2 linked regions of the Cricetulus griseus genome follow. The protein of the gene in region 2 purifies or fractionates together with the protein of the main gene of each other region. This does not show direct contact. Links are inferred from orthologs where the notes say so. Each region holds a gene or a part of one and is shown on either strand. Other genes may lie near its edges.

Region 1 (10,559 bases), on a different chromosome or scaffold from region 2:
ACCCAGCCCCTATCTCAAAGAAACACACATATAAACAAACACGCACAGGCTCAGCACGGCTGCCTCCAAAGAGGCAAGCTGGGCACGATGACCCATGCCTTTGATCCCAGCACTTGGGAGGTGGGCTTCAAGGTCAGCCTGGTCCAAGGACTGACAGGGCTTTGTAGAGAGATCCTATCTCAAACAACACACAAACAACAGAGTAAAAGGCAACATTCCCCATTCAAGGCTGGGTTAATGGAAGCTGGATCTCCAGCATACTGGTAAGGACAAGCTCACAGTGTCTGAGTCAGTAAACAATGTTTCTCATAGAAACTCTGCATAGTACTCCTGCCATCTTCGTGTGGGCAGAGACTTTCCCCTCCCCTGCTCAAGCTGCTCAGGGGACCAAGAAAGACCACATGACAGGGAGGACAGGTCAAGAGAAGCCTCCCTTCCTGGATCCATTCTTCCTTCTATGGAGTTAATCCCTGTAAGAGTAAAGTAACAAAGAAATTTGGCACCTTTTATTCAGTTCCTGGGATTTTATTTATTTATTTTTGGGCTTCCTTTATTGGGTAAGACCTCATGGTATACCCCAGACTAGCCTGGAATTAACTGTATAGTACAGACTGGCCTCGAAATTATATTCATACTCCCGCTTCATTTTCATCTGTTCTGGGATTAGAGGCATGATCTAGCAAGCTTGGTTAATTCCTGGAAATTCATTTTAGGTTAGCATTTCTCAACAAGGGTGGGGGAGTGGGGGGTGGGGTGGGGTGTTGAATGACCCTTTCATAGAGGTCACCTAAGAGGAGCAGAAAACACAGGTATTTCCGATTGATAACAGTAGCAAAATCACAGTTATGAAACAGCAACAAAAATAACGGTATGGTTGGGGTCACCACACCATGAGAAACTGTATTAAAGGGTCGCAGCGTTAGGTTGAGAACCACTGCTCTAGGTGATACCGGTGGTGCATGCTTAAGGAGCAAAATGGAAAAATACCGTGAAGTTTATTTCTAGTATAGATGCTTAAGAGGTATGTCAGGGAAAGGGATATGGATATATATACATATATATACATATATATATATATATATATATATATATATATATATATATCTCCACACACGGTCTTTGTTTTTCATTGCACGCTACAGAGCTGAGCTGAAATGACACAGGTTCTCTGGCGCTGGACACACTCAGCCACTTTCTGCAGGGCGTCTGCTGCAGCCTTGTGCAGCTTCGCCAGGAAACCTGCCTATCTGTAGGGCGTTAGGTCTTGGTGAGGAGCGCATGGGGCCCGAGTTCGCACCTCCTCGCAAGCTCTAGTTCTCACTGCTACTCTCACTCTCCGATCCAGTCCAGGAAAAACAAACTCCCTTCTCCTGCCCCCAGCACCGAGAGACGCCGGGAATTTCAGACACGGGGGCTGGCGGTGGAGGACACGAGCAGATCCGGAGTCCCCGCTGCGCGCCCAGGACCCCGCGGGCTGCAGGGGCGTGAACACCAACCCCCTTCCCCGGGGACCACACTGCCGCCTCACCGCGAGTCCCGAAGACGGCCCCACTCACCCTGGGGACAGGGACGTAAGACTTAGGGGCCCGGACACGAACCAGGCCCCGATGGACAACCGAGAACAGAACAAAGAACGGAAGTGCCCCCTCCCCGTTTCATTTCCGGGTCGTCCTTCTTCACCACCCACTGCAACCCCTGAGAGCCGAACGCCCATTTGCTCTCTCTAGGAAAATAGGAGGTCTTCATCTCTGATGGTACGCTGACTCAAAGACGACTGCTGTGCAGGAAAAACAAGTGCTCCGGACTGCGTCACCTGCTGGCCAGGTCGGGAAGGGACCTGGGAATTCAGGGCACAAGTTCCGATGTCTCTGGGAGAAGGTACAGTGGGTAGGGACCAGCCAACACCATCTCCCAAACCTCCACAACAAATTTAAGAAACTTGAAGAATCTGTTAATATACATGAGCATCATGGGCTGAAGGTTCGGCTCAGTTGATTTTTTTAAGAAGATTTGTTTATTTTATTTGTTTTGTTTTTCGAGACAGGGTTTCTCTGTGTAACCCTGGCTGTCCTGGAACTCACTCTGTAGACCAGGCTGGTCTCGAACTCACAGAGATCCACCTGCCTCTGACTCCCGAATGCTGGGATTAAAGGCGTGCGCCACCAGCACTCAGCTATGAAGTAAGCTTTTCTATAGGACTCATATGCTATCTGATGATATTCTTAGCTTTTGGGTCAGCGCGTGTGCACATGCCCGCAAACACACACACACAAACACACATTGAAAATAAGTAAGTAAATAAAAATCATCTCCCATGTGTAACTAACATCTGAAAAATTCATTCTGAGACAGATGAAGGGGACCTAGTTCTCCTTGGGCCCTAGACAGGTGTTAAGCATTTTAAAAATAGTGTTAAATTGCTGTTAGCATTAACGTTTCTTTGTCTTGTTTTTCTTCTAATGGTAACCGCTTTAAGTTTATAGCATAGCCGGGCGTTGGTGGTCGATGGGGGCCATTTTTTTTTTTTTTTTTAAGATTTACTTCTGTGTGCATTGATGTTTTGCCTGAATGTATGCCTGTGTGAGGGTGTCAGGTCTCCTGGAACTGGAGTTACAAGTTGTGAGCTGCCATGTGGGTGATGGGAATTGAACCGGGGACCTCTGGAAAAACAGCCAATGCTCTTAACCTCTAAGCCATCTCTCCAGCCTATCAGGGGCCATTCTTATTCAAACCACCACAACACTGCACCTTCCCTATTGGTACAATCAAGCAGGATAAAGGCTTCTCTTATGTGATTTGCTGGCGGCAGCTTGATGGCTAGAGTCCTCTGCCAGAAAAGTGGTGGAGACTTCTACAAAGTTGCTTGATCACTGTGTTGTGGTTTGAAAGAAAATGGTTCCCAAAGGGAGTGGCACTATTAAGAGATATAGCCTTATTGGGGGAAGTATGTCACTGGGTAGGCGGGGGTGGGGTGGGTGGCAGGGGGTGGGCAGGAGGGCTTTGAGGTCTCTTTTGCTCAAGCTTCCTGCAGTGTGACTGTCAGTCACTTTCCTGTTGCCTGCAAGATGTAGGACTCTCAGCTACTCCAGCCCCACATCTGCCTGCACACTGCCATGCTCTGTCATGATGATAATGGACTGATCTTCTGAAACTGTAAGTGAGCCCCCTCAATTAAATGTTTTCCTTATAAGATTTGCCATCGTGATGGTGTCTCTTCACAGTGATAGAGACCCTAAGACAATTACTGAAGAGGTTCTGCCAGTAAGTAGCAGATACCACACCAGTGTGGCCCCAGATTCACCTGGCACCCATCCCACTGTGTGCCCAAAGTTCTCCCAGTAGCAGTCACTAAGTTGTGTAAGGAGTCAGGTTGCCCTGCCACTGAAGCAGCTAAACAGTTCAAGAGCAGTCACAGCTGAGGAGGTGGCTCAATGATAATGTGTTAGGATCTGAGTTTAAATCCCCAACACACACACAAAAGCTAGGCTTGCTGAGCATGGTGGCGCACGCACGCCTTTAATCCCAGCATTCAGGAAACAGAGGCAGGCGCATCTCTGTGAGTTTGAAGTCAGCCTGCTCTAAGAGCAAGTTCCCAGCCAGATGGGCTACACAGTGAGGTCCTATGTCAACAAACAAACAAGTGACCAAGTTCCTGCATACAGATTATATGCAACATGAAAAAGTTTAATATCTTGAATAAATTGCTTTCCACATCCTGCTAACAGCCTTGCTTCCTTTTGGTTGCAATTTTCTGGCTCCAGTACATACAATGCACCCACTGAGCGCTGGAAACGAACAGCCCTACTCTCCAGTGACTTCTGGCTGACCCAAGGCCTAGTGACTCTGCGCTTTGAGCATAAAATACCAGGGCTTGTTGATGCACACCTGTAATAACAGTACTTGGGAGGTGATGGCAGGCGGATCAAAGTGGAAGTCATCCTCAGATACACAATACAGAGTTCAAGGCCATGCTAGGTTACTTGAGAACAGGTAACAGCAACACAGTACGACGTGCTCTTGGACATCCAGGACTACCAAGGACTGGCAGATGCCCCGCCCTTTAGCAGCGCCAAGCACATACTGAGCATGCGCCGCTCGCCGACGGAAGCCGGGAAGGAAGGGGGCGGGCCGTGGCTGGCGGGCGCGGGGAAAATGGCGGCGGCGGCTGCGAACGGGAGCGGAGGCAGCAGCGGCATGGAGGTGGATGCAGCAGGTAACGGGCTGTGCGGAGCGACTTCTGGCATCGCCCTTGCGGAGTATCTTGAGTACTACCTAAGCCCGGGAGAAGCGACAGACAGCTGTCCCAGCGTAACTTGCGGGCAGGGATGGACGGCCCGGCTGCGCCGGTCCCCTACTCCCATGTCTAGGAGAGAATGTGAGGGCCCGAGCTTTCACCGCTGTGTTTTCCTTTACCTTTCACAGCCCCCAGCGTGATGGCCTCTGGAGTGACTGGGAGTGTTTCCGTCGCTCTTCATCCCCTTGTCATCCTCAACATCTCCGACCACTGGATCCGCATGCGCTCCCAGGAGGGGCGGCCTATGCAGGGTGAGGGCTGTGTGTAGACCTCAAACCCTCCTCTTGGAGACCTCCTCCAATCACTTTTCCCTCGCCTCCCACTTCTTCCAAATTAGTTCCCTCAATCATTGATTCACACTGACCTCAGAGTCTTGGGTTATGAGGAAAGATTTTGGATGCCTGTTCCCTCACCTATCTTTGGTGTGCTTCTCTCCTCTCAGTGATTGGGGCTTTAATCGGGAAGCAGGAGGGGCGAAATATCGAAGTGATGAACTCTTTTGAGCTGCTGTCCCACACCGTGGAAGAGAAGATTATCATTGACAAGGAATATTACTACACCAAGGAGGAGCAGTGTGAGAGGGGATACAAGTGGGTGGGAAAGAGAAGTGAAGTGGGAAGATTTGGGGGGGCAGGGGTTGGGTTGGTCTTAAGTAAAAGTGCATTGCTTCTCGTCCTTTTGGCTAAGATAAATGTAAGATAAAAGTGCTGGGGATGTAGGACAGTGGGTATAGTGCTTGCCCTAACATGCAAGAAGCCCAGAGTTAAGTCCTCGAGTATCATATAAACCAGGAGATGGAGACAGGAGATCAGAAATAAAAGGTTATTTTCAGCAAGTAAAGGATGAGCGATGGCAGAGTGTAGTTACTCCAAACTGAGCCAAAATTTGAGGAGGGAGGGAAGAACTGGTGAGGAAAAAAAGAAATACACCAAAGTCAGTGAAACGAAGAGCGGTTTAAAGAAATATTGTTTACATTGGCCCCTTCTTCAGTTAAACAGGTGTTCAAGGAGCTGGAGTTTCTGGGTTGGTATACCACAGGGGGGCCGCCTGACCCCTCCGACATCCACGTCCATAAGCAGGTATACAGGTTCAAATGTGTACATGTTGGGGAAGAGAACCAAACATAAGAGGAAGAAAGGTTGACTTTTGGGGGGTGCCTTCTCTTTTCTTTTAGGTGTGCGAGATAATTGAGAGCCCCCTCTTTCTGAAGTTGAACCCCATGACCAAGCACACAGATGTGAGTATTGCTGACCCTATGTCCCCTTTGTCTTTATCATCTACCACTCTGCCTGCTTTTGATCCTCATGCTCTGCTGTAATTTACTGTGTGACATCATCTGTATTAGAGAATGCTTGAGTTGAATGTCTACCATGCTGCTAGTTACCCATCAATTCTATGATGTCATCTTGTAAGTGGCACTTTCATATGTAATGTGGGTATGTTTTGGGGAAAATTGAAAAGGTGAGCCAAGTGTGTCCACATACTTTTAATCAGTTTTAGCACTCAGAAGGTTGAGGCAGGATTGTGAGTTCCAGGCCAGCCTGGCACATGTTTAAGTTCAAGTGCATTTGCTCTTAGTAAGAGTTGTCTCCATCTGTCTTACAGCTTCCTGTCAGCGTTTTTGAGTCTGTCATCGATATAATCAATGGAGAGGTAATACCTACCCTGCAACCTTCAATTCCTGCTTTTAGCCTGTTTCCTGCATGCCATGCACATGTATGCAGTCACAGGACCACCCTGGATGTCCATCCTTACTTTCTACTTTGTTTGAGACAGCATCTTGTTTGCCAGGCTGGTTGCCTGGGGGTTTCTGGGAATTGTGCCCTACTTCTGGTCTTGTAGGAGTGCTGGGGGTACAGACACATTCTTACCACATCTAGCTTACTGTGGGTTCTGAGGATCTAAAGTCAGATCCTCAGGGTTGTGCAGCCATCTGCTCCTTTGTTTCCGATTCTGACTCTTCTCATGTGGGAACCCTTTGCTCTGCAGGCTACAATGCTGTTTGCTGAGCTCACGTACACACTGGCCACTGAGGAAGCTGAACGTATCGGTGTAGACCATGTGGCACGGATGACAGCAACAGGCAGTGGGGAGAACTCCACTGGTAAGGGAGGTGAATTCTTTCGAAGTGTGGGGTGGCTGTGGTCACATACTGTCTTTCATTTGCCGCATTCCCCTGCAGTGGCCGAACACCTGATAGCTCAGCATAGTGCCATCAAGATGCTGCACAGCCGCGTGAAGCTCATTTTAGAGTATGTCAAGGCCTCAGAAGCAGGTAGGACAGGTGCCTCTGTCACTTTTAATCGTTTTTCCTCCCTCCTGGAGAAGTGACAGCATCCCCATCAGTGCAGCCTCATTGTACCCTTAGGAGAGGTCCCCTTCAACCATGAGATCCTGCGTGAGGCCTATGCCCTATGTCACTGTCTACCAGTTCTCAGCACAGACAAGTTCAAGACAGACTTTTATGATGTGAGTGTTAATACCCCTGTTGGGGAGGTGGGGCTCACACCATCACACCAACCTCAGTTGTCCTTGGCCCTAATGTGAGAGATCCCTGGGGAACTGGCTCTTTCTGTTCCCTCCCAGCAATGCAATGACGTGGGGCTCATGGCCTACCTCGGCACCATCACCAAAACGTGCAACACAATGAACCAGTTTGTGAACAAGTTCAACGTTCTCTACGACCGACAGGGCATCGGCAGGCGAATGCGGGGACTGTTTTTCTGATGAGGGTTCTAGAAGGGATGATGTACAGGGCTCAGACAACTGTTACTGGGCACTACATTCCCCTTAGAGAAACTGTCATTAATAAAAGAGCAGCCCCTTAGCAGCCCTTCCAGTGGCTTTGTCCTACCAGCCCCACACTGGTTTCTCAAACTTGGAATCCTCAAAGCAGCCCTGCTCAGAGGCAGAATCTACTCACCACTACGTCTCCACTGCCTACCCACCTTTTAATGACTTGAGGTAACCCCTTGTCTAGATAGGCAGAATGTGGTAGGACTGCCTGTTTGCTTCTAGTTCTGTGGTAGCAATTTACATAGGCCAACCCACAGAAATGACAAATGACTGCTTTTCCAGTCTCTGAACGGGAGGGATAAAGAGCCTATCTTGTAATTATGGATAACGTAAACCCTTGGTCCCATGGAAGTGAAAAGTACCAAGAGGAACAATTTCTTTGAGTCTCTACTTCAGCCCATCTGTGAAACTTCCACTGAAGTCATTTCTTGTGCCATCCTCCATCTCCTATTTCACCACCCTCTCAAGAGGTGGGAATTAAAAAGAATGTCTACAATGGAAATATTTCAAGAAATGAGTGGGAGCTGGGCATTGGTGGTGCATGCCTTTAATCCCAGCACTCGGGAGGCAGAGGCAGGCAGATCTCTATGAGTTTGGGGCCAGCCTGGTATCCAGAGCGAGTACCAGGACAGGCTCCAAAACTACACAGAGAAACCCTGTCTCAAAAAAAAAGTGGGCCCTAGGCCCTGATCCTGGCACTGTATTGATTAGCACACAGTAAGGCTCAGTGCTTCATACATACCAGGGGAGAAGGCTCTATTAAGTCCTTGCCACACCCTAGCTCTTAAATGTGGCAAGGTAGAATAGAAACTTACATTGGAATTAGTAGTGTTTGCCCATTCCCCAAAAAATGCTATCTTAACAGAAGCCAGGCCCAAAGTCAAAACATTTTATTAACAAACAAAAAAGTGCAGTATGGGAAAATTCGATCTGTTCCTTTGGGGCATCCAGCAAATGCTATGGGGTGCGCAGCAGGGCCTTAAAAGCTGGTCGTCAGACAAAGGGTGAACCTCAAAGCTGGTCATCAGACAAAAGTGATGCGTGTCCGAGAAGTATTGACCTGCCAGACATTTAGCTCCTCATATTCATCCAGAGCTGCCTGGAATTGGGCTGGTGTGAAACCACGTGATATGCAGCGCTGCTCAGCCTCAGAAAACCGGACACTTCGTCCCCCTGAGACCAATTCACGAACTGTGGCAAATATCACATCTGCTGGCCTCTGGGTCCTGAAACACATAGATGGAAAATGTCAGTGTGCAGGGCTAAGCAAACAGAATAGCAATCAGAATCAAAATCCTGAGGTCAAACTTGTATGTTTGGGTGCAGAAGCCACAAAACTTATGACCAGCTCAATAAAGTCAAGTGCCCCAATTTCATCTTCATTAAGACACTCACCTAGCTGTTTGTCCCTTTTCACCTAGAAGTGAGTCCTTTGACATCTCCATCAACCTTATGGCTTCATTTACATCTTCTTTTTCCACAATGTCCACCATACGGAGGCGAGCCTAAGGGGGAAGGCAAGAAAAAGATGGGGATAGGAGGGGAGAAAGGGGATGAAGTCAAAGGTCTTCACTGCTCCAGCTTCAAGGGTGGCAAGCCATGTTTGCCCACTTAAAAAAATGGGGACTCCTCCCTGCCCCCTCCCCCAATCTGCAGTGTTGGGCCGGCACTGTCAGACCGAGACAAGTGCAATGCCCAGGGCAGCTTCCAGCAATTGCCCAAGTCTCCGCCTCTCAACACTGGCCAGTCCCGGTAGGTGTTCAGCTGTCCTGTGAGGGAGACCAGACCCTTCTGAACTCCACTAGGTTCCCCATCATGACAAATGGGGCCTGGGGAGCTCAGCTAGGGTCATTGTCAGAGAGGTTGTGTCCTGGGGGCTCGGGAAGTGCTAGCTCAGCAGTAGGTCAGGTAATTACACTACCTGCACGAACAGCACTTTGGAGCCCCCATGACTAAGGTCCAAGAGGGAAGGACAGAATGGAGATATCTAAGACCATATATCTAGGACATCAGGAATTCAACAAGTCCATCTGCCCCTCTTGGATTTAAGTAGCAAGCAGCCTTTCCCTCCATGGGTGTTGTATGTGCCCTGCTGGAGCAGCAAGTACCCACAGTGCGGTAGCACAGAGAGGACCACTATCTGCACTGTCAGCACTTTAGCCCCAGCAGGGCTAGTGGGAGGGAGGAAGAGGCAGCCTGAGGGCCATTAAGGTGAGGTGGCAGGCAAGGGTCAGCCTTCCAGCTGACAGGACACAGCACTCACCAGAGCAGTAGAAAGTCGAAGAATGGCCAGTAGGGTCCGGGCAGAAGTATAGGTGGCATCCTTACTGGCCCGGGCCTCTCGCCTCATCTCTACATATGCTGCTGTGATGTAGTCAGCCAGAGATTCAGGCACGGTAGGCTGCCTCTCTCGGCACATGGCTATGTACCGTCTGTGGGAAACAAGGCTTGTGGGAAAGCAGAACACAGGCGTGCTTTATAGATTCCCTACTTAATATTCTATGCAGGAAGTGGACAGCTACTTGCTTGGGCATCACTGAGGGACTCCTCCAAAACAGGGCTGCCAGTGCTCAAGTAATTTGCAACTTTTCAGGAAAATTAATTTGCACTACACCTGCACTGGGATGACCTAACCCCTCTGAACTTGTCACAAAGGGAAGACCAGGTGAAACCAATTTAGAGACTTGAAGATCACTGAGATATCTATGCCACAGTACCACACATGATCAAGATGTACCTGCCTCACCGCTAGGTCAGGATGATGGTGAGGAAGGAAGGTTCTTCTATGTATGGGGAAGGGGGTAATTATGGCAACATTCCCAACAGACCTCTAAAGATCTCCTGTTTCCACAGTAGCTAGGATTAGAGCCTGCTGCTCTATCATCCCAAACTAGAAAAAAAACTTCTGATGATGCCCTCTGCCTTGTATGGCTAGGCTACAAAGTTGAGACCTGGGTTCACTCCCTACCCCTACCTCATAAGCTTCATGTCCAAAGGTTCAAACTGGGCAGGGGGCTGCCGGCTGTGCTGGTGGACATAGGTGATGTGCTGGGCCAACCTAGAGAGAACACAGGCGAAACTAAGAGCTATATACCTTGAGGACCCCCCATCTTAGCCCTACCTCTTTGCCATAGCACAGCAGAGACAGGCCTCCCAGGAAAACCTTAGCATCTCAGCCCCAACCTTCCATCTCCCTAGGAACTGTGGAAAAATTGAGTGGCTTTCTGATTTTACCTTCCTCCCCCCAAAGCACTAAAACGGGCTGTCTCTATGGGTATTGTACTTTATTCACCGGAGGTCATTATCTCGGTCAGGCCGGTCCTGAATCAGCCATAAAAGGTCGAATCGGGAAAGCAGAGCAGCAGGAAGCTGTATGTTCTGCTCCAGGCTTCGGCGGGGGTTGTATCGCCCATAGGCAGGGTTGGCAGCAGCCAGGATAGAGCACCGGGCATTGAGTGTGGTGAGAATC
Region 2 (10,822 bases):
CCCATGGTGCTGGGGACAGAAAGGATTGTTTCATATGGCAGCTGTATCAGCCCGACCGAAGTTGGGAAAATGGCCCCAAGACTGAGAAATACCTGTCCTAGCTGGTCTGGCTAGAGCAACTCGTAGACATGTTGCTCCAACATATGGATACTGTATGAAAGGATATCTGAAGAAACCGGGTAGTGGGAAGTCATTTTCTCTTTTGGCCATCAGCACACAGCATTGTGGAAGCACACAGACACTTAGCTCTGCCCCTTGTCACTAACCAGAAAACAGGCCTGTGGATGGAGCAGTTGGGACCAACTGTATGCCTTCTGGAAGCCAGGCATTCAGCGTAGTTTAGACAAAGCTGCTTATAAAGGCTTATTACCTCCAGCACCCTGTCTTACCCTGCCTCTGGAGCCTGGGGCAGCTCTTTAGAGCCAGCCAGTCAGTGGAGGCAGCCTGTCCATGTGCCACCAGCCGCTTCATCTCTTAGATGCCACAAAGTTCTTGGCCATTGCAACAGCAGCTGTGTCAACCCAGCAATCTCCACCAACAGCTGTTTTTCAATAAACCTTTTGACCAAATGCAGCTGTTCTTTAAAGTAGGCAGATTGGCCAGCTAGCTTACTCTCTCCCGCATCTTCACCCCCTGACTTATCTGAACACTTACCTGAAATGACTCCTTAGCAGCTGCCACTCATTGTCCAGGTAGCCTTTCATACCTCCAGCCAGGTCTGGCATTCCAAACCAATGGGTGGGCGGTGGAAGCTTGCTGGCCCGGGTGGTCCAAGCCACCTACAAGCTATTGCATTGATCGCTAGAGGAGACATTTGCGCCTGCGCAGAAGGGAGGGGCGTTGGCTCCTCGGGCTGTCGGTTACAGACCGCTAAAATGAGGACTTAACACCACAAGACTAAGAAAATCCTCTCCATGGGAATTTTATGTAAGTAACTTCCCATACCCACGAATATACTGAGAAAAGGCTTGGGCAATAGAAGCCCAGAGCACTTGTAATTGAATTGATTGACAGAGTTTTCCGGGTGGGTGGGGGTAGTGGTGCATATTTAATTTGCAATTTGAAATTTATGACCCCGTAATATTTTTTATTTAATTCAACAATGAAGAGCTGAAGGGTTGGCTGAGCAGCTTTGAGTCTTGCAGCTCTTGCAGAGGACTGGAGTTCAGATCTCAGAACCCACTGCTGGGCAGCTCTCAACCACCTTTAAACTCCACCTCCAGGGATCTGACTCCCTCTTCTGGTTACTGCAGGCACCTGCACTAATGTGTGCATACTCCTAGGCAGAATTACCTAAGTACACATACCTAAACATAAAAATAAATATTTTTTTTAAAATTTAAGAATATTCAAAAAAAGAAAGCAATCCACCTATAAAATAACCAAAGACATAAACATCCCTTTCAGCAATAAAGAGATAGGTGTGGTCAGTTAGCCCAGGAAGAGATGTTTGACAGTGTTAATCATTCCAGAAATGCAGATAGAAACCACAATGAGTTGGTTCTCTACTACTGAGCAGTAATTTTGTAAAAAAAAAAAAAAAAAAAAAGTAATGATACTAATGGTCGAAATGTAAAACATACAGTCCTTCTGAAAATAAAACCCGAGAGCTTAGAATTTAGAATTTGATTCAGGATTGACATTCTTAAGCATTCATCCCAAAGAAAAGACAATCCACACAAAAAACTTGTGTACAAATGTTTATGGAGGTGTTTTTGCACTGGAGCAAAATATTGGAAGAACTTGAATGCTATTCCATGGGTTAATGAACACACCCTGGTGTGTCCATATAACAGATCTTTAGTCAGAAATGAAAAGAAATGAACTATTGATGCAGATGACACCCTGGAGGGACCGCAAGGGCAGTATGTGCAGTGCAAAAATTCAATCTGAAAATCATATACATTGATATTCCAAATAATATGTCTCATCATGGTTTGAATGCCAAAGGGTCAGTAGCAAGTAGTTTTACTGGTAACTACTTATATATGTAAATTGCAGTGTTTAAAATTTTATCATTATTGTGTGTATGTGTGCATAAGCACACACATGTAAGATGGCTGACTTAGGATGTTTTTGGTTGTTTGTGTGTTTCCATTGGGGGGAATGTTTTATTTTGTTTCTTGGGTTTGGTTTCATTTTTTATTTTCAGTTTTTTGTCATTGGTTTTTGTTTTTTGTTATTTTTGCTGAGGATTTTTTTTTTTCAGGGAAGTCAATGCCACTGGTAAAATACCATAAAAACTCTAACATCACTTTTGGGCACTAAAACAGGTATGTGGAGAGAAAAATGTTGGCTAATTTCCACTGAGGCTCCAATTCTTGATAGGTGGGGTGAACAGTGTTGATCATGTTTGCCAACAGTAAGTAGTTCTTGACCGGAAAGGCTGGTTCGTCTGTGGGCTGGAGCACAGACAAGGTCCTGCAAGACGCTGCGTGTTGTCCCATTGTTCCTCTTTGCTCTTTCCTGTTGGTAGTTACAGCGCATGCAGCCCAGTCCTCCACCTTCATGAATCAGAAGTCATGTGTGTGCAGTTTGGGGCTGTGCAGCCCAGGGTGTAGATGGCAGTGTCTTTTTGAGATTCCCATCATTGCATGGGAAAAAAAAAATGTCCAACCATTTTTCCTCTGCTGTCTCTGAAGTCACAGTTAATAACAATTTGTTTTCCTGGAATTTCTTCCAATCATTTCCCCTCAGGTTCGGGTATCCCGTGACGCCCATTCCAAGACAGCTAGTGGCTGTTCCTTACCCACTTCACAGGGATGGTCATTTGGGAGATCGGGAGACGGGCAGGAAGAAGAGTCCCAAGGGCATACACAGTGCTGAATGTGTTCCTACTCTTGGCATCTGCTTGATGCTTCAGAAAAGCATTGTCACTTATCCATTTCATTGTTGGTGCACATGTGCAGGTGTGTCAGTGTGCACGCACACACACACACACATGCTCATGTGTATGGTATAATACGTGGTACACATCTGTGCTCTTACTTGTGGATTCCAGAGGTCAACCTTGGGGTTGTTCCATAGGAGCACACCCCCACCTTTGAGACAGGGTCTCTCATTGGGACTAGAGGCTGCTGAATCAGCTAGGCTGTTGAGCCAATCAGCCCCGGGCATCCTCACCAGATAAGGAATCACATGGCCATGCCCGTTATACCAGGCTTTTTGCAGTGCTGTGAAAGATCAAACTCAGGTTCTCATCCTTGTGTGACAAGCACTTTACTGTGCCATCTCACCATGCTCATCTTTTTAATGTATGACTGAGGAAGTGAAAGACACTGAAGAGGACCGGATGTTACAAAGAAAGCCGGTGATAAGACCATCCCTGGATGACCCAGGCACAAGTGTCAGCAACTAACAACACACACAAAAAAAATTAATTTTCTTTGTCTCTGTTACCCCATCTGTAAAATGGGTCTGATGGTAACAGTACATGGCCTCCTCTGTTGTGATGATCCAATGAGGGAAAAAAAAATGTGTTTTGAACTATTCCCCTGCTGCATTTTGGGGCCACAATACATATTGCTTCCCATTTCTTAGTTACTGTCCTATTGCTCAGTGCCCAGGGTGGCTTGAAAGGAAGTGATTTGACATGAAGTAGAATTGCTTGCTAACAGCATCGGGGTCAATTAACTTTCTCACAGAAATACATTCATGAAGAAAATGACTATTAAAAACAAACTGCGGGGAGTCTGGTCCTTGCCAAGCAAATGACCACAGACCCATATGGATATACCCTAGACTTGTCATATACCAGACAGTTTCAAAAGGTTATGGCCTTGATGGCCTCTTTTCCAGCAACCGTGAATTAAGGATTTTAGACTGCACAGGTTGCCGCACTACATTTTCTTGTAAAAAACCTTTTTATTTACCCAGTATGCTGGTCATGGTACCTGAGAGGTGGAGGCAGAAGGGTCATGAGTTCAAGGGCAGCCTTGACAAGCACAGCAATTTTGAGATCAGGTTACAGGAGACCCTGGATCTAAGGGAGGGGCAGGGAATTACCAAAAGGACTGAAATTAATTCAAAAATTGTGGGAAGAGAAATCCATCTAAGAAAATCAAAGGTGGTTTTCTGAAAGGAGAGGGTGGTACTGAGAGAGAGATTTGTTTACTCTTCTTTCTTTAGGGGGGACTTGGAGAATAACACAAAGAAACAGCCCTTACATTAAAATATAACTCCTCCTGCCCCCACTCCTGAAATCTTGGCAGAGGCCAAGGATGAAGCGTGGCCATCTTTGTGTCCGCCTTGGTGCTCAGCCTTTACAAGGGTTTATAAACGGTAACACATCCCTAGCTGAAGGCATTCACACCCTAATCCCCCAGCTGTCTTTTTGCCGGACTGGAGTGAGCGGATTACACAGTTGAGCCCAACAGGCAGTTTAGAAGGCAGACTGAAAGTTCCCTGCGGGCAGGAGCCAAATGAGTTGTGTCCACGGTCACCTCCTTAGAGCTTGACATGATGCCTGGCATCCCTAGGCACCTATGCAGTTCTTATGTGTCTGCATGAAAAATGGCCATGATTCTGCCCTCAGAACTCACAATAGGCTTCAAAGTCGAGAATGTCCCTGAGAAGGGACACTCTGGCTTTCTTTGGTTTCCAAGAATTCCTGCCGACCCAGGAGAGGCCAATGTCAGTTTCAGATCTACCCCCAACCTCTCTAAAAGGAGCTGTGAAGCGTCTGTTTCTGGGGTCTGGAAGAGCAGGGCGCCCCCATCACCCCACCCCGCTTCCTGCAGAGACCCCTCAAACCCGGTGGTGGGGAAGGTGACCAGGAGGGGGAGAGCCAGCCCGCACGTGCAGCGCCCAGGGGAGGAGGCTGGGCCAGCGCAGCGCTTAGTCAGCAGCTGGGCTCGGTTTTGAAACAAAAGCCAATGTCCTCCCTCGGAGTCTGCGGCCGGTCAGTTCCTAGGGGGAAGAAAGCTATGCTGCCCAGCCGGTTAGTGGCCCAACTTACTTTTCCTGAGCCCGGGACTGAGGGCCAGCGGATGTTTGGGAGTGGGTGGGATGCTGCGGGGAGGGGGCTCGGGGACAGCTCGCACACACCCTGCCCTGCTCTGGCGTCAGCTTGGCCTGAGGCCGGGCTCCCGTGGGTGCCAGGCACACGCTGGTCCGGACCAAGCACCCCGGAGCCCAGGCCCTCCGGTGTGCGTGCAGTCGAGGCACCTTCGCCACCTCGCGTCCCACAGCTCCGACACAACAGGCCCTGGTTTCATGAATGAAATCCAATCGTGTGGTTATAAATAGCCGCCAAGGCTGCTCACGTCACGGTGGAGAGAGGGAGCGATCGGAGGCCGCCACCGCGTTGCTCGCTCCGTGCCGGGGCTCAGGGTTCCGCCCGGTGCCCCGCCTGGCCGGGGACGGGGGCGGGAGGAGGGCAGGGCTGGAGGCGACAGCGACCTGGGGACGAGCCCCGTGGCCTGGGCCAGGACGCGGACGCGGCCGGGCGCGGCTGTGCCATGCTGCCTTTGTGCCACGCCGGGCGGGTGGCGCGCGGCGCGCAGGGTCCCCGCGTCCCCGCGAGCGCGCGCGGCGGGGGCCGCTCCTGAGCGGCGGAGAGAGCCGAGTCTCGCTCGGCTGCAGGGTAGGTGGCTGTGTCGTGCAGAGTCCCAGTGCAGAGCCCCAGCTCCCGATCGCCCTGAGGGTGGCAGGTGGGGACCCCGGCCCATGTGTCCCAGCGACATTTGCGGGAGCGAGCTGATGGGAGGCAGGGGACAGTCCCCTCCCAGGCGCGTGAGCTGAAGAGATACCCGCCCCAGCCGCACCCCTAACTTGTAGCTGCTGAGAACACGTACAACAGGCACCTAAGGAGGCCGGCTGCACCAGGGCGGGTGCTGCCGCGCCCCCGGGGAAGGCGCCTTTTCCTCGAAGGACCGTGGCGAGGAACCCGGGACCGGAGAAGCGAGGTGCTCTGTTCCCCTGGGCGCTTGCACTGCCGGGAGCAGGGTGTTCAGGTGCACGGCGACGCCCCTCGCCCTCCCCCCACCCCAAGCCCTGTGTGTAAGGGAGTCGGTTGTGAGTTGCTGTGACAACCGGTACACGCTGCCTGTGAGGGACTTGCACACACCCGAACTTGTGCGTGGGCTTCAGCTTACTGGGTTAAGCTTACAGCCAGGTATGGGGGAGATGTGCAGAAGAGATCCACACCCACCCCACCCCACCTCATCCCACCCCACCCCCCAAAAAAAACAAGCGGAAGGAAGGCAAGGCTGTGTAAAAATATATCATTCGATCCCTCTGTTGGCGGTGCGGTTTCCATCCCGTATCAAACTACTCAACGGAGGAGCAAAGTCAATATTTAGACTTGGACAAGCCAGAAAGTTAGGAGGGAGAGCCAAACACAGGGTTTTGACTTGGCTTTTCACGTCAGCGCACAAGCTGTGACTTTGGAACTGACTGTGCTGGGGGGGGGGGGGGGTGCATGAAGATTGATGCACATACACCGTCACAGAAAGCTGGGGAACTGCAGAAAGTAGAGAGCAGTCATCCTGACTGAACCTCCCTGGCCTGTGTTTGGGGGGAGCTGCTGAACTCTTCTTGGATACTTAGTTTCATTAGCTCTGGAGTTTCTCCCATCCCGGTTGCTGGACTGGCTGCTTCAAGAAACTCCTTGAGACTCAAAATCATCCCAAGCTTCCAGGGGCTTTCCGCTTTGCCAGGGGGCCGATAGTAAACCGTCAAGAGACTCCTAAGTTCACTTACAAACACTACCTTGAGACTCGGTGCTGTATTTCATCTTCAATGATCGTTTGGGCGTCTATGAGACCTGGTGCTTCCCATAAGATAAACTCAAGCTTTTAGACTGTGAAGAACGTCTATCTGCATGTTGCTCCACAGGTGGAGTGAGCAGTCAATTATTATGTTAAACAAGGTTCCCCTGGAGATTCCTCGATCATATTTGATTGTTAATGGGGGTATGGTTTTGACCCATTTCATCCCAGGGTAGAAGGCTTTGAACTACCATTGGGGGTGGGGGTGTTAGCAACAATCTTTTAAGTTTGCCTACTCTTACCTTCCAAGACTGTGAAGGTCGTGTGCATTTCAAGGCACAGGGCTATGTGTAATCAATCACAAAGAGGCACAGAAGCTAGTTGGTGTTAATGAATTAATACTGCCACAAAAAAAGAAGAAGAAACCAGAATTGCTTGCTTTGGGGTTAAGGTGATGTTGTTTTAAAATCAAGAGTCTGAGTTTTCACTGTGTCTCCCATCAGCTTGTGGCTAAGTGTTTTTTCTGTAACATCCCCAAATGCTCAGAAATATACTTTTGTGGATGCTATAAAATGTTAACATAGCTATTTCAGGATACACTTGACCCAAAGAAATGCCAGTGTATGCATGACATCAGCTAAAATCAGGTGGCTGTAGAGAGAGGGAGAGAGATAAAAAACATGCAAAAATCCATGAGCTCCCATGGGCTCCTGGCAGGCAGTGAGATTTCAACAGTGTTTCTCTCTGTCTCTAGGTAAGTCCAGCTACGAGCAGGGACTTCTGTTCTTCACTTCCGTGAGCCAGGTCAGTATCTTTGTGCAAACCCACAACACACAGATGGATGGTGCAGTCGCTGAGGCTGAATGTGGGTTTTAGAACAGGTTTCTTCATGTGTCTTGGAAGAATTGGGTTTTGCCTCTTGCCTTGTTTATTGGAAATGACGCAAGCTCTTTGTTGATGGAAATCGTCCTATTTTCTCTGTGAGGAAGATGGTGCTAGCATGAACCTTGTGCCCCTCACTCCTTTCTGCGGTTTTCTTACTAACTTGAAAATTAAAATGGCACTAGACAGCTGAGGATCTTGGGAATCTGGGTCTCAGTAATGGAGACAATTCAACTTCATCTTAGCCTTCAGGACATAGAAGTAAACTTGACAGAATAGTAGTGGACATTTGTTGAGTTTGAGTCAAGATTTGGGTAGTGTTTGCTTCTGTACATTTATGTTTTTATTCTACGGGTATTGTGTATTCATATAAATGGACAAATATCACATATATATATATATATATATATATCTGTGGTATGCAACAACTTTTGATTAATTTTTAAAATTTTACCTTACTCTAAGACATAAACTCTTATTTGAAAACTTCTTCTTCAACAGGGAGACTGGGGCCAAGGGAGGTTAAGCGATTTGTTTAACCCAGTAACTACAGATCACCCAGTGACGCTCAACGGAGCAGCTGTTCCTGTTGAACAGATTCCACTCCCTTGAGTAAGAGTAGGGAACTTCCTAGCATGGATCTGTTAAGGATAAGAATTTTTATTACAGGAGGTAGGTGGGTTCCAACTCTTAAGAAGTTTCCAAGCCAATTTAAGAGGCAAGACATCAGGCCTTCCCATATGAAATGATAGAGAATAAACCATGGTTGTGCAGGTCCCAAAGCTGAAAGGTGGGGACGGGTCCCACAGAACTTTCATAAGAAATTCAGTATTTTCTGTTCTGTGAGATTACTTTTGAATCCCATGTACCAAGCACAAGTTTTCAGCTACATAGATGAGCATTTGGGAATAGGCAGGAGGTAGAATTTCAAACCATCAGAGACTGAGTAGTTGTTTCGAGCCATGAAGTTATAGGACCATGGAGGCAGAGACACCATCTCTTACAAGCACTCTGCAGAAGTCTTTGGTAAAAGCACACACTACACTACTAGGGAGCCTCGAAGTAGAGTAGCCCTTCAAAACCTCCACCTGCCTGAAATGTTCTACTTCCAGCAGACAGGTTTGTATACATAGTAGATAAATCCCAACCAGAGTTCTGAAAGAGGCCAGTATCTAAAGTCACAGACATTTCCCATTTGCATCAGAATTAACAGCATCTCTTGCCTCTGTTTCCCTCCTCGATCTTTAAAGAATAATTTATAATGGTTGTCGATCCTTCTCGGGGAACTTTAAACGCAGAGTCATTAACAAGGGGGTAGGGAATGGATTATTAAGGAGTCCTCTAGATGCCATCTTTTTAACATGTTTTTTTAACATCTTTTTAACAGCTCACCTAATAGCGTTGGAAAAGCACACTTAGTTAAGGGATATTTCTGATCAATTAAAAGATAGTTACATGCTATCCTATAAAAACTTGGTCTATAAAGTTTATTATATCTTAGACCATGACAAGACAGATCATACTCCATGGTTTGTATTGGGGAGATTCCATTATGGGCCAGGACCTCACCATTAACTGATATATGGCTAGCTGTGATGAATGGTATGCCATAAAAAATAATCAATATGACAATCATAAACTTATGATTTATTTAAAGTAGTCAAATTACAGAATGTTAGGGCCGAGAAGAATCTTTGAATTAGCATGCTATCTCTAATGATAATTAGTTATCAGTCAGCTGTTTTACTCCCTTATTTTTTTTTTGGACATCAGCAGGCTTTGGTTATGGTGTGTGGCTTGTCTCTTGTAAAACAGAAACATTTGGAACGTTGCTGGCTTTGCTTGGTAAACTGACTTGTAGAAAACAGATAAACCCTGGGCCTGAGAGATGGCACAGTCTGTAAAGTGCTTGCTCTACAAACATGAGGCCCTAAATTATTGGATTTCCAGAAGATACCTTTAAAAGAAAAAAAAAAAAAAAAGAAAAGGCTGAGCATGCTTGTAATTCCATTGCTGGGGAGGCAGGGGCTTGATGATCTGTCAGCCTAGACAAGCAAATCTCAGCCTAGTGAGAAACACTGCCTGAAAAGAAAAAAAAAAAAATGTACAGTGCCTGGGGCACAAGAGCCAGAGGTTCTGTGGCCTCCATGTGGGCCTTTGAGCTTACACACACACACACACACACACACACACACACACACACACACACACACCTTATCTCCTTGTTGGTATTGTGATAATAGAAAGCCTCCCTTTAGCTTCCCATAACTGGTGATTTGAATCTGGTCTTTGTTCTGACCTTCTTTTCTCCACCAAGGCTCTCCATCAACCTCACTACTCTAAAAACTTGGAGAAGGAATTTGAAATACATTACAATAGCTAAGTAGGAAAAAAAAAACATAGGGGATAAATCATGGGAGTGGTAGGAGATGGGGGAGGGAAAGAAAGCTTGGAAGGTGGCAGCAGACAGTGATCAAATGGACAGAACAGCTACCGATGGGCTACCTGGGTATTGTTCTAGTTGGTAAAACACATAAAACCAGTGACTAGCATACAATCAGCCACGTCTCTCAGCCCCTTTGTTCCCTAGGCACCTTAGGGCAGAACTTGGGAAATGGGCCAGTCAAGACATGGGGAATGAAGGGTGAGCATAGCCTTGGTCTTCCAAGACACCCGTGGCACTGCCTGTCTTCAGGTATTCCTTTTAGCAGTGACTCAGACACATGGGCACGGAAGGCTGAAGTGCCAGGAGGTCTAGACAGAGCAATTACACTTCTCTACCGGGGTCTTGAATTTATTTCTTGGGCAATGGCAAGTTCCCAGTGCTGATGGGTTTTGATCTCAGGCTCTGTCTGTGGAGAAATTTCCTTTGAATTTTTAGCCAGCCTTAAGGCTAACCAGCCACTTCTGGTTTATAACTAGCTGGTCATAGCTTGGTCCCTGGCTATAACAACCACTAGGACTTCTTCCGTTCTTCCAAGATGCCAAGTATTGACTGCTCTATGACTTATATTCATTATCAATTCCAATTTAACAGAAGCAAAGCAAAGGGGAGAGAAAGACAGAGACTAAGAGACATTCAGTCAAGGAGCTAATAGGAAATGGAGCTTGGACTGAGTGGACTTTAGTCTGACCAAAGATTTGAATGCATTCTTGATGAACTCCTGGAAATGGGTACTTTAGCCTATTCAGTCCAGGCTACTCTTGCAAGGGGAGAAGAAACACAGGTG

The links. Proteins that work in one complex are often made in the same cells at the same time.
Region 1: the proteins of Rhobtb1 (region 2) and Cops6 purify together in Homo sapiens (affinity purification with mass spectrometry; 4 studies listed by BioGRID and IntAct, counting the BioPlex papers as one, with this or other methods). This does not show direct contact. The link is inferred for Cricetulus griseus from reciprocal best matches to the Homo sapiens genes RHOBTB1 and COPS6.

Annotation. Positions count from the first base shown.
Region 1 is NC_048597.1:116,885,120-116,895,678, reverse strand, and holds Cops6 (COP9 signalosome complex subunit 6), read left to right. Parts: upstream 1-3,505; 5' UTR 3,506-4,086; coding exon 4,087-4,213; intron 4,214-4,422; coding exon 4,423-4,545; intron 4,546-4,736; coding exon 4,737-4,868; intron 4,869-5,284; coding exon 5,285-5,373; intron 5,374-5,468; coding exon 5,469-5,531; intron 5,532-5,899; coding exon 5,900-5,947; intron 5,948-6,283; coding exon 6,284-6,398; intron 6,399-6,476; coding exon 6,477-6,569; intron 6,570-6,662; coding exon 6,663-6,763; intron 6,764-6,880; coding exon 6,881-7,021; 3' UTR 7,022-7,592; downstream 7,593-10,559. Other genes in the region: Znf3 (zinc finger protein 3), read right to left, coding at 280-323; DNA replication licensing factor MCM7, read right to left, coding at 8,115-8,316, 8,486-8,595, 9,354-9,522, 10,065-10,148, 10,383-10,559. UniProt on the Homo sapiens protein: Component of the COP9 signalosome complex (CSN), a complex involved in various cellular and developmental processes.
Region 2 is NW_023276806.1:268,396,270-268,407,091, reverse strand, and holds the start of Rhobtb1 (rho-related BTB domain-containing protein 1), read left to right. Parts: upstream 1-4,828; 5' UTR 4,829-4,939; exon of another isoform or gene 4,940-5,348; intron 5,349-5,450; exon of another isoform or gene 5,451-5,584; intron 5,585-7,464; 5' UTR 7,465-7,514; intron 7,515-10,822.